Drosophila melanogaster: one gene and its partner. The protein of the gene in region 1 interacts with the protein of each later gene in a pairwise test. Each region holds a gene or a part of one and is shown on either strand. Other genes may lie near its edges.

What was found. The genes of interacting proteins can lie anywhere in the genome.
Region 2: the proteins of smg (region 1) and CG31802 interact in a two-hybrid assay, tested with the Drosophila melanogaster proteins (one large-scale study listed by BioGRID).

The regions. Positions count from the first base shown.
Region 1 is NT_037436.4:8,991,056-8,998,923, forward strand, and holds the start of smg (smaug), read right to left. Parts: upstream 6,040-7,868; 5' UTR 5,799-6,039; intron 5,517-5,798; exon of another isoform or gene 5,427-5,516; intron 5,195-5,426; exon of another isoform or gene 5,007-5,194; intron 4,863-5,006; exon of another isoform or gene 4,668-4,862; intron 4,511-4,667; 5' UTR 4,413-4,510; coding exon 2,044-4,412; intron 1,987-2,043; coding exon 1,026-1,986; 3' UTR 989-1,025; intron 483-988; coding exon of another isoform or gene 441-482; 3' UTR 1-440. Other genes in the region: CG5087 (uncharacterized protein), read left to right, coding at 7,400-7,554, 7,608-7,868. UniProt on the Drosophila melanogaster protein: Translation regulator that binds to the 3'-UTR of specific mRNAs such as nanos (nos) and prevents their translation. Prevents translation of unlocalized nanos in the bulk cytoplasm via the recruitment of cup.
Region 2 is NT_033779.5:18,207,908-18,210,980, forward strand, and holds CG31802 (uncharacterized protein), read right to left. Parts: upstream 1,331-3,073; 5' UTR 1,242-1,330; coding exon 681-1,241; 3' UTR 508-680; downstream 1-507. Other genes in the region: CG42750 (uncharacterized protein), read right to left, coding at 1,862-2,241, 2,650-2,953.

The sequences.
Region 1 (7,868 bases):
AACAGTGAAACATTGAAACTCTTTTCTGTTAAAGTTTAGTCTAGTGGTAGTTTCCGCCGTTGCGATTTCCTCTGGTGCAGTTACGGTTCAGCAAATATGTTCCTTTTAATTTAAAATAAATTATGTGTACGTGTATATATAAACATATTCATTATGTGACTACTACTTCATTCAGCAAGCCTAGTTTTGATTCGCGCAAACAATTATCAGCTCTCGTTTCTCAATTCTCACTTTTCAATTCCCTCTCCATCCAGCTTTCTTCCTTCTAGTTTTTATAGTTGCGAAAAGTAATCTTAGTCAGTCTCATGGTCACGATGCAGAGTTCATTTTATAATTTTTTACTAGATAAACCATTTTTCGTCGTCGTTCAGATCGGGGTATTTCTTTCATTTGGCGACGTTGTTGATAGTGAATGAAATAGTTGATGTTGTGATTGGGGTTTAGAATAGCGTAAAATGTTGATCAAATTTGGCCAAATTTTCCTAGGTAGAGAGAAGTTACTGTATTCTGTTGTTGCGATCTGTGTGTGTGTGTGTTGTGGGGCTTGGCTTGTTAGTTTAACTACATAAATGGCGACAACATTTACGAAACCTATACATTAATAACATTGACAGTAAGATGCCACGCCCCCGCTGACAACCGACATGGGATTACCGTCGGGGAGTGCAGCATGGGCTCCACAAGTTCATCGGCCAGCCGTTGGTCCTGCGAGCCCGAGTCAATTGATCATATCTTTGGGGGCGCCTTGGCATACAGTTAATAAACTTAACATTAAAACAAACTATCGTCTTACTAACTAAAAACGATTACAGAACGGGATGTGAAAGGAGACGCAGGGTGGACAACTTGACGCGACACAAAAATAGACACGAATCTTAAATATCTAAATATAAAAACATTTATGTTCGTTATGAAATCAAACATCAAACACGGCTCAAAGCTAAATGAACACAAAAACAGCTGGCAGCCTCAAATCTAACGCCATTACATGATGATTTCAAAACCCAGATAGCCCTGAATCTTGCTCAGTTCATTGCCTGTTCAGTCATTTGGCGACACAACGTCTCCAGCTGTTCTAGGCTCTTAAAGTCGTTCATCTTGTACTCGGTGACGTGGGGCGACATGCCCAGGCTGCCCAACGGTGACTGGGACAGGCAATGGTCTACGCCATGATTGTTGTTCTTGCTGCTTTGGTGACAGATATTGTGGACACAGGCACCACCACCACCATTGGAGCACAGACAGCTGCCACTGCCCACGGCGGCAGCAGCTGCTGCCAAAAGTTGCAACTGTTGCTGGTTAATCAAATTGTTGTTCAGCATGCTGTTGTTATTATTGTTGTTGATCAGGATCTGGGGCTGATCGTGCTGGTCCTGATTCTGGTTTGGATTACTAACCATCACAACAGCGGCCATGGTCTTCTTTGGTTGTTGCTCCGCACTGGACACTCCTCCGCTAAGTTTTCTCTGCTGCTGCTGCTGCTGCGACTGCTGATTGCGTTCCAATACCAGGTTGTCGTTAGATCCGTTGTTGGTGAGCACTCCCTGACCGGGCTTAAAGATCAATTGCTGCGGTTGCTGCGGACCTCCGGCCACCAGAATAAGATTATTCAGCGACCGGCGATGCGATTGTGGTGGCGTCTGCTGAGGCAGCGCTGGAAAGTGGTTGTGTTGCTGCAACATCTGTTGCATCTGCTGGGGATGATGATGCGACTTACTAGACGGCGGCGGTGGTGGCTGCTGCTGAGGATTACCCATGAAGCTTGGGTACGAGGAGCTCTTGTACTGCGGCTGATGGGATGGACCGCCGCCATAGCCGTTGTAGTCAAACTGTGGCAGAGGCGGCGGAGCCTGCTGCGAATGATGGGGCAGCGGGTGTGGCAGGCAATTTAGCGAAAAGTTTAGCATGTCGTTGGAGTTTTTGCGGTTGTTAATCCTATCGTTGCTGCCATTTTTAGTATCGCATTTGCGAGTCTTACCATTCCATCTAAAATAACAGCTCATTTTTAAAATGCATTACTTTTTATCTTATTGAAAACCTTACCTTGGCTTGTTAATGTTCCCATTGTTTGGCCCGACGCCGGCTGGCTTGACGTGATGCATTTTGGGAACCATGGAGATCTTCATTTTGGACAACTTAAACTTCAGGTCCTTGAGTTGACTGGCGTGATTCATAAATGCCTCGTTGTGGATAGAGCGGTCTAGAATCCACATAAGCACACCCAAAGTCTCGTCGTCTTGGACAGCATACGGATCCTGCTGCAACGTATTGGTCACAATGTCAATGACCTTAAGAAAACGCAGACCAATGTTTTCCTCCGGTGGTCCTGGAGACTCCAGTGGCTTCATTGGTGTCAGCACAATATTTGTTAGCTCCTCAACCGCCGTGCTCAGCTCCATTTGACCCGATAGCAGTTCTTGTTCTACCCGGTTAAGAATATTGGCCCGTTCCTTCAGCTTATCAATGCAAAGGGCAAGCTTGTGGGAGGCGCCCTTGGTGACGCCAACACTCTGCAGAAAGTCCTCGGTGATCAAGAGCATTTCCTCGTACGTCATGTTCTTGAACAGCTCGATGTACTTGTGCAGACGCAAGGATTTTAGCCAGAGTCCGATTCCCGACATGCCCACGTTGCGCGTGTGGAACTTAATATAATTGGGCTTGAATTCATCCAGACGAGTATCGGAACCGCTGTTCATCAAGGCGCCGCGCTGATGCTCAATCGATAAGGAAAAACTACGGGGCTTGTTGGCAAACTGTGCCAGATTCTCCGTTGAATTGGAGCAGTTGTCATTGACCGTGATCACCGATGAGTTAGACGAGCTGGAACAGCTAGAGATCGTTTGCGTGGTGAGGCTGTTAGAGCGCCGCGTCTTCAGGGCTGCAATCTTGCTGTCCAGGCTCCACCGGTTGATCTCTCCAAACTGATCGCCCACGTTTCCCATAAGGATCGAGGCATAGGGAGGAGGCTGAAGCAATTGCTGCTGAAGATTCGGCGGAGGTTGCGATCGATCCTCAACAGGATTTCCACCGTTACGTCCACAAAGGCTACTGCTGGCCAGACTACAGGCCTCACCCATGTCCGCCGTCACCGGGTCAAAATCGAGAATCTCCGTGCCATTCTTGCTAAATGACGTGTCATGATCGTCGCCACCAGCGATTCCCAACATAGAGCCTGCACCAGCGACCACACCGTTGACCAGGGAAGAGCTGCCCTCCAGCGACAGGCCGAGACTGTTCTGACTAGAAGCTAATTCGTTCAGGGTAATACCATTAAGATTATCACAGAGTGGATTGATCGACCCGCTGGAGCTGCCGCCTCCATTGCCACGCCAATCACCGGCCAATTTGTTTTGCAATTGCTTGCTGGGCGGGGCGATCGTTTGCCAGTCGTTGGTGCGTGAGGAACGGCTGCCGCTTGCGGGGCACAACGAGGATGAGGCCACCGACGAACAGGATGCTGTCGAAGAGCTGGTCGCCGAAGAGGAACAGCTACCACTGCCTGTTGAGCTACCACCAGCGACCAGTTGCGGCGAGGGCTGCAGGAAGTAACTGCGATTTGTCAGGCCCGCCGCAGCCGCTTGGATATGATCCTCCAAGTGACGCAGCCAAATGTTGAGCGAACGTCTGTCCTCGCTGGTGATAGCTGGATGGATGAGTAGGTACGAGAAGATCTGCTGCACCAACTCCGTGGGCACAATTTGCTGCATGGTGTCCTTGACGGCAACTGGTATAAGGGTCAGGTAGATAAGCTTGGCCTCCTCATTGCCCGGCTTCAGCAGAGGCAGCATGTTCAGTACTTCATGCAGAATGTCCTCCTTGCGGGCATACAGCTTCCGCTCGTCACACTGCGCCGATGTGGTGATCTGGAAGTCACTGCCGTAGCATGGCATCGAGTCCTTGTCGGACGACGAGGAGGACATGGCGTCGAGCAGGTCACATGGCTGGAACGTCTTGTAGGCGTTGAGTAGATTCTGCAGGTACACCGGATTGTTGGCATTGATGTCAATAACCACGCTGCTCAGATTGGTCTGGGAGGTGCCCAGGTTCTGGGTCAGGTTGCTGTCGATAGAATACTGTAGAAACTTGAGGCTCGGGTAGCGCAGCCGCTTGAGCAGCGCGTACATCACGACGGTTCGCTCGCAGTCGTTCCACTTCTCGAAGAGATTTGTCACTGTGGTCACCTGCTCGCAAAACAGCGCATTGGACGGCTGGCTCTGGCTGGGATTGGCGTTAGAATTGGGATTGCCATTGGCGTATGTCGCCGTCGTCGTGGCCGTTGATGTGGCCTCCTTGTGGGCTGCAGTAGGCGTTGATGTGGTTGGCTGCATCTCGTTGGATGCACTGTTAGAGTTATTGGTTTGGCCGCTGATGCCGGAGGTCATCGCGTTGTCAGTTCCAGTTGCGTACTTCATCTCGTTGTTAGTTGCTTCTTGTTTTTTGGGGATAGTTCTTACTATAGTTTATGGTATTGTATTTGTTACGGCTTCTTTGTGGTTATTTGGTTGCGTTGCTGCAAGTAAAGATAACGGGGTAGGATTAATAATTGAACTATTATGTAAAGCTAAACTTTGTGACTGTGGTAATACAATTTTTTTTATGCTCAATGAGCTGTATCATTCGCTTAAAGCCTAGTTTAGCCCAATCTAATCACTTCCATAGAAAAATACCACAATTCCGAACCACGTGATCCAATCAATAGCTTCTCCCTTATTCCATGGATTTGTCGCCATTGCTCCACTCGGGATTAGAGTGCCGTGCAGCGATAATAAAATAAACTTTAAGCCGCAAATAACGTTCGAATTTAATCAAATCAGTTTTCGCTAATTTGTTAAATTTACAAGCGCAATAGCAACAACAATTATCTGTAATTGACGAATGGAAATTAGCATTTGCTTGGTCGGCTGGCTTATCAGGAAAGCAAATAAACAAGCAACAAATATATAACACCTTCGATTCGCTTTGATGGCGCAAATGACGAGGGACGATAAATCAATAAAATAACAAACATTTCAAATACGAAATCGCTGATTTCGACTTGGCGGCGTTCGGATTTTGATTTCCGGGCGGGAAAGTAGAGCGGGGGCGAGAAGTTTGGTTAGGTTGTATTTTTTTTGCACAGTTTCGCGCTTTTCATTTAGTTTCGTTTGTGCCCATTTCGAATCTTGTTTCTTCTGCCGCCGTTGCTGTTGTTGTTATTATTGCTTTTACTCTGACGACTTTCTTCGATTTTTGTTGCCGTGTTTTCACAGTAAGCACACAAAACATTGAACAAATCAACGCATGGGAGTCAAAAAATTTGAAAATTAAAGTATCTATTTTTTAATGTAAAATGTAGTTTTAAGAGAAATTGCTGCATTTTATTTTTTTATCCTGGTTTACGACATCGAGTGTTGACTGTAATCTAAGCCAGAGACAGTGTAACTGACTGTGTATTGGTACCCCAACTTAAGTTAGTGTGTGTGAGCAAGCAGTAAAACATAACGGGCCCCAATTACTGCATTTAAAGCACATTCACTGCTATGGAATTTACCGATGTTAACTTCTTTGCTATTTAACGTAACGTTTTATATGAAATTTCACATTTCCCTGCGAGACTGGGAGCGCAAAAGAGTCGTTTGGGGCGACTCGATCTAACGGTACTTGTGCATGTCGATCTTTGAGGTTATGCGTCACTGCAATTGCTGTTGTTTTCTAACCGGCTTGCAAATAAAAAAATTACCGAAGTTCAACAAAAGTTCAAAGTTCAAAGATTGCAAGCACGCACACACACGCAAACGTAAAGGATACTGCAAACTCACACGCTCTTATATATTATCGTATTTTGGCTGCCCTTTCAGCAGTCGCGATCACAGGCGCTTGGCATATTCCGAACGCTTTTATTTACATATGTACGTTGCGAATAAATTTGATTATATCTGCAAAACTGCAGATCCAACCACACAGAACAGAAGAATTGGTTTAGCACAGCGAAGCTCAGCTGAAGACGAGAAGCTGCAGTGGGGAGCACCGCGGAGGAGGAGCGGCTGATGGCGAATGATTTGGCGCTGGCGTCAGCGATTTAGAAAGAAAATGGTGGAGCTGCAGAAGCAGCGCAGCGGCAGGCAGAGCGAAACGGGCGAAAAGGAGCGCGCGCCTTTTTTTTCTGACAGGATTGATGCTGATGCTGATGCTGCTACTGCTGTCAAGAAAATGGGGAGAGCACTCACTTACACGCACACACAGACGGAGACCTTGCTGCGCTCGTCGGCAGTGGTATGTGTGCGAGTGAGAGTGACACACTGAGCAATGCACGGGCAAAATTGCGGTAAATTACATGCATTACATTTAAGGGAGAGGGGTGGGGCTCCTGCGGGGTAAGCGGGTTTTGTTGTTTTCACCACACAGAGCAGCAGCGCACAGTACACAGAACACACAAGATTGGCCCCCAAAATCACGCCCCACCCACCTAGCCACGGTCGGCCAGACAACAAAAATATATAGCTACAGTGCGCTTGTGCCAAAATTCGTTCTATTTTTCAATTACCTTTTCGCCTTCTATTCGCCTGCTGCAAACCTTGAAATTATTTTCTGTTGCAATTCACAGTTTTGATTCGATCAGCACGAGAAACGAGCATATTTCGCTAATTTGATATGCTATCGGATCGCGTATTTATTAATTTATAATTTTCACCTTTGCTCGCGCGCGCGTTTGTGTGAGTGCGTATGTGTGTACTTTTTATTAGCACTTTTGGGCTTTAGCGTTGTTGTTTTTGCTAAACCATTACTTTTTTTTAGACACACAATTCATGGCGCTTACGCTCACAAACGCCCGATTACTGAGTACTGCGCACGGTTGCTGTTGCACTTGGTCGGATGCATGTTTCGCCAGCTAATCCATTTTTTCAGCAATTAATTAATTATTTATTCACGCGAACGCAGCGTTGCTAGTGCTGGAACAAAAATCGATGTGTACTCGATACAGTCGATCTTTCTTGCAAGCGGTTATCGGTTACTTTCCCTTGGTGATGGACGCTCAGTTGAGCAGCAAAGCTGCCCTAGGTTCGATGCCGTGCTCATGCAGCGCGGACTCAAACCACGGTTTTAGCTAGAAAATTGCCAACAAAAATGATCTCCGCGCTTTGGCCTATTTCTGTGGTTATTTGACAGTAAGCGGAGACGGTGACACTGTACCACCAATTGGAACAAAATAAGGATATTTTCTTTTTGCATTTTGCTCGATATGCAATGCAGAAAATATCCAGCGAGGCTCTGAATCAAGGCTCTGGGATAGCGTTCAGCTCGAGGAAGTGATTGAAACGATAAATACATCCCGGAACGGCCACAATCCCGACAAAAACAAACGCTCTGGTCAACAACAATACATCATCAACAAAATTCTTTCAACCTGCTGCAGAGCAAAATGTTTGCCCAAAACCAAAAGGCCAGCTTCCTGGAGCAGACAAAGGCGGCGCGGGAGGAGCGGGCACTGGAAAAGCGACGCGAACAGGCGGCCATCCTGCTGCAGTCCACGCTCAAGGGATATGCGGCGCGTAGGAAGTACCAGAAACGAATCATGTAAGTGTCTATCTACTTTTATGGAACATCCTAAATAGTAACCCGTTTTGCAGACTCGATTTCGATGCCATGTTCACTGAGAATCATGACGATAAGGATGCGGAACTGGAACTCGTGGCAAGCAACGTCTATCCGGTGCTTCGTCGCTACCTCACCCAGATCAGGCTGGACAAGAGCGATGTGCGTGCACGGGAGCGTCTGGAGCGCATCTGCCGTTACATCATCAAGGCAATGGAGTCGGAGAACACCAAGCTATCCTATGCCGCCCTCTGTCTTTTTAAGGAACGCAGCCTGCCCTGGATCGCGCACATCAA
Region 2 (3,073 bases), on another chromosome or scaffold:
CAACGAACCGAAGACACAGAGTTAAGAGTGAATAAGGCACAGAAACGGGGACAGGCAAAGATGGGAAATGGAAAAGCTCTTCCGGCAGTTGGAAAAGCGCCCACGCATGCCACCAAATTGCAGCCACAATTTGCTGCAACGAACTCAACTGAAAACTGAAAACCGAAAGTGGAGCAGGCCCATGGAAAAGCATACATCAAATGTGTCAAAGAGATTTGTTATGCATGACAGAGGCCTGTGACAGCAAACTCGCCCAAGTATCAAAAACAAGGACTATGAGATTCCCAGCGATCTGAAATTGTTTTATTTCAAAAATTTCATAGAGTACGAAATACATAACTTTAAAAGAATTCGTAATGATAAACCGAAAATTAACTATCCGTAATTTGTGCTCATTACTATACTCTGGTTTTTATTGTTATGCAATATTTAACTAAAAACATAGAACCCATTTAGATTCCCAAAAATATGGGTTCAAGAAGATTGAATATCAAAAATATCAAAAATAATTCAATGCGAAGCTTTATTGAACCGAAGCATATCCAAACTTCTTCACTGTAATGGGTTTCGAGTCAGATTGATGTGTCTGTCTGAAAAATGAGTAAATCTATATGGGTTATATACAACGTCGTTTCCCGTTTACACAAATGAATTGCGGAATAAATTTAAACGTAATGCAACTAGATGAGATTGGTTTTCTTGATAAGGTTGAGAAACTCCTCCTTGCTAACCTCACCATCACCGGAAACGTTGGCTTCGTCGATCATCTCCTGCAGTTCCTCGTCGGTGAGCTGTTCGCCCAGCTCCTTGGCCACGCGTTTCAAGTTGAGGAAGGATATGCCGCCGGTGCGATCGTCATCGAAGAAGGAAAAGGCCTTCATCATATCCTGATTAGAGTCCTTTTCCGCCATCTTCAGGCGCATCAGATATAGAAAATCGTTAAAGGCAATCCTTCCCGTCTTGTCCTTATCGATTTCGTCCATCATACGCTTTATATCCTCTTTCTTCGGCTCGAATCCCAGGGCACGAATGGCCACGCGAAGCTCCTTGGTTTCGATAAAGCCCGTGCACTGGGTGTCGAACAAATCGAAGGCTTTCTTAATGTCCACCTTCTGGCTTAGCGACAGGTCAAAGGTCGGCAGTTTGGGCTTTTTCGATTTTTTAGCCCTGCTTGAGATCGATGCACTCGAATGCATTACACTGGCGGAGGACACCATACTACCAAGTCGTTTGCCGGACATGATGATCTTATCGGCTTTTTGATGTGGGAGTCGGTAGGAATATCGATTGTTTGAGATCTGCTCTCTTGGAATGTGAACGTATACTGTGTAGAAATCGGGCGGGCTGTTCGAACTGGCCGACAGTTGGGGACTTGACCTACTCGGTTACGATAGTTTTGGGCTTGACTTTGAAGGAATTTACATTCTAAAGTCACAAAGCTGCCGAAAAAGCACTTAAATGGTCAAATGGGAGTATATTTAATTCTAAAAAAACATATCAAGGTATTGTATTGGATTATCTCTGAAATTTATCGACCCGAAGTGCTGGCTCACAGCATTTGCCATAACAATCAAAATTCATGTGTGCCCTAATACTTGGCGAACTTGAAGTCTCCTCCATTCCCCTCGCGATTCGAAGACAGCTTGGTGGCCTGAGCCCGAGCCCCAAGAGTCAGTGGGTGTGGCAGGTGTCAGTCACTCGGTCGTCAGACTACAACATCCACCTCCTACGTGCCACGCTCTGTTTGGTTAGCGCATTTGCCTGTTGCAAAACTCTGTCTGTATTTCTGGTGGAGGCACGTGCCGTTGGCTGCTCATGACTACAATTACAATTACACAAAGTGTAGCGGGGTTTCACTCACCTGGGGGTCTCCGGCTCCTCCTGTTCCTCCTCCAGATCCCATTCCCAATCCCACTCCCAGTCCGATTCCCAATCCCGTTTCCATCCCAGTCAGCGATAATTTACGATTACGCTCGCGCTCCAGTCTCATAAGTATCTGCGCATTCTGCTCGCAGGAGTAGGTGTGTGTCTTACGCTTTCGTTCCAGACTGTACTCGTACAGCGGCCTTGCCGCATTCGGTTGCAAATCCAGTTGGGCCTCGTCGCCGGCATCGCAGCTGCACAGGGACTGATTGGAGCGGCCCTTGCTCCGCTTCAGGGATCCGCGGTTCGACGACGAGGGCGTCAGGCGTTGTTCACTTACAAAATTCGAGAAGGTTACCACATTGCCAGAGGAACCTACTGGAAGATAGAAAAAAAAGTTGTTTAGCTTCCATTTAAAGTTCTAGTCCTGTCCGTCTACCACATTCTAGTAATGTGCGCTCAACTACTCTTAGCAGCAGAGGCGCTAATTGTTTACTCTACGAGTTACAGAAGAAATATACAATTAAATTTCTTTTCTAACAGAATCTTGTATAATATGTTATTAAGCTATTTAAATTTTGTCTGAAGTGCCGCATAAAAATAATTTATTATTATTTATAGCGTATTGTACATGCAAGTATAAGTACTGAATGCGCTGGTAGTAATATCTTAATTAGAGTTGTTAAGTTCTGACACTTATTTGCTTAATGAGCAAGCTGGGAAAACTTTTATATGATTGACTGATGGGCCTGGCGTTTATTTACCCCTCAGAAGGGTGCTACTCACCTGAAGTGGCTCCTTTTCGCTTGGATGGTGAGACGTAGAAGATGTCGTGCTCATCGAACTCAACGCTCCGCTGACTTGTTATGCCGACACCACCGTTCAGGCCACCCAGACCGCCCAAACCGCCGGCACCACCAAGTGCTGTGGTGGCCGTGGCCGTACTACTGCTGGTGGTGCTGGCCGCACTGTTGCCACCGCTGCTGAGGTTGCAGCCGTGATCCGCCAGGGCGTGCAGCATCGGATGCACCTGTCGATCTCTCAGGGAGTGCTGCTTGTGCAGGCCATTAGTTCGTCTTAGCTCCGTCATCGTCCTGATTTCACTCTGCGCTTCTTTTTTATTCCCGGAGCCGGCTTATTGTCATCACTCCTGCGCTCATGAAATATTCATGCCACACGACTTCAAGTCCTTCGCGACTGGGGCATTAGC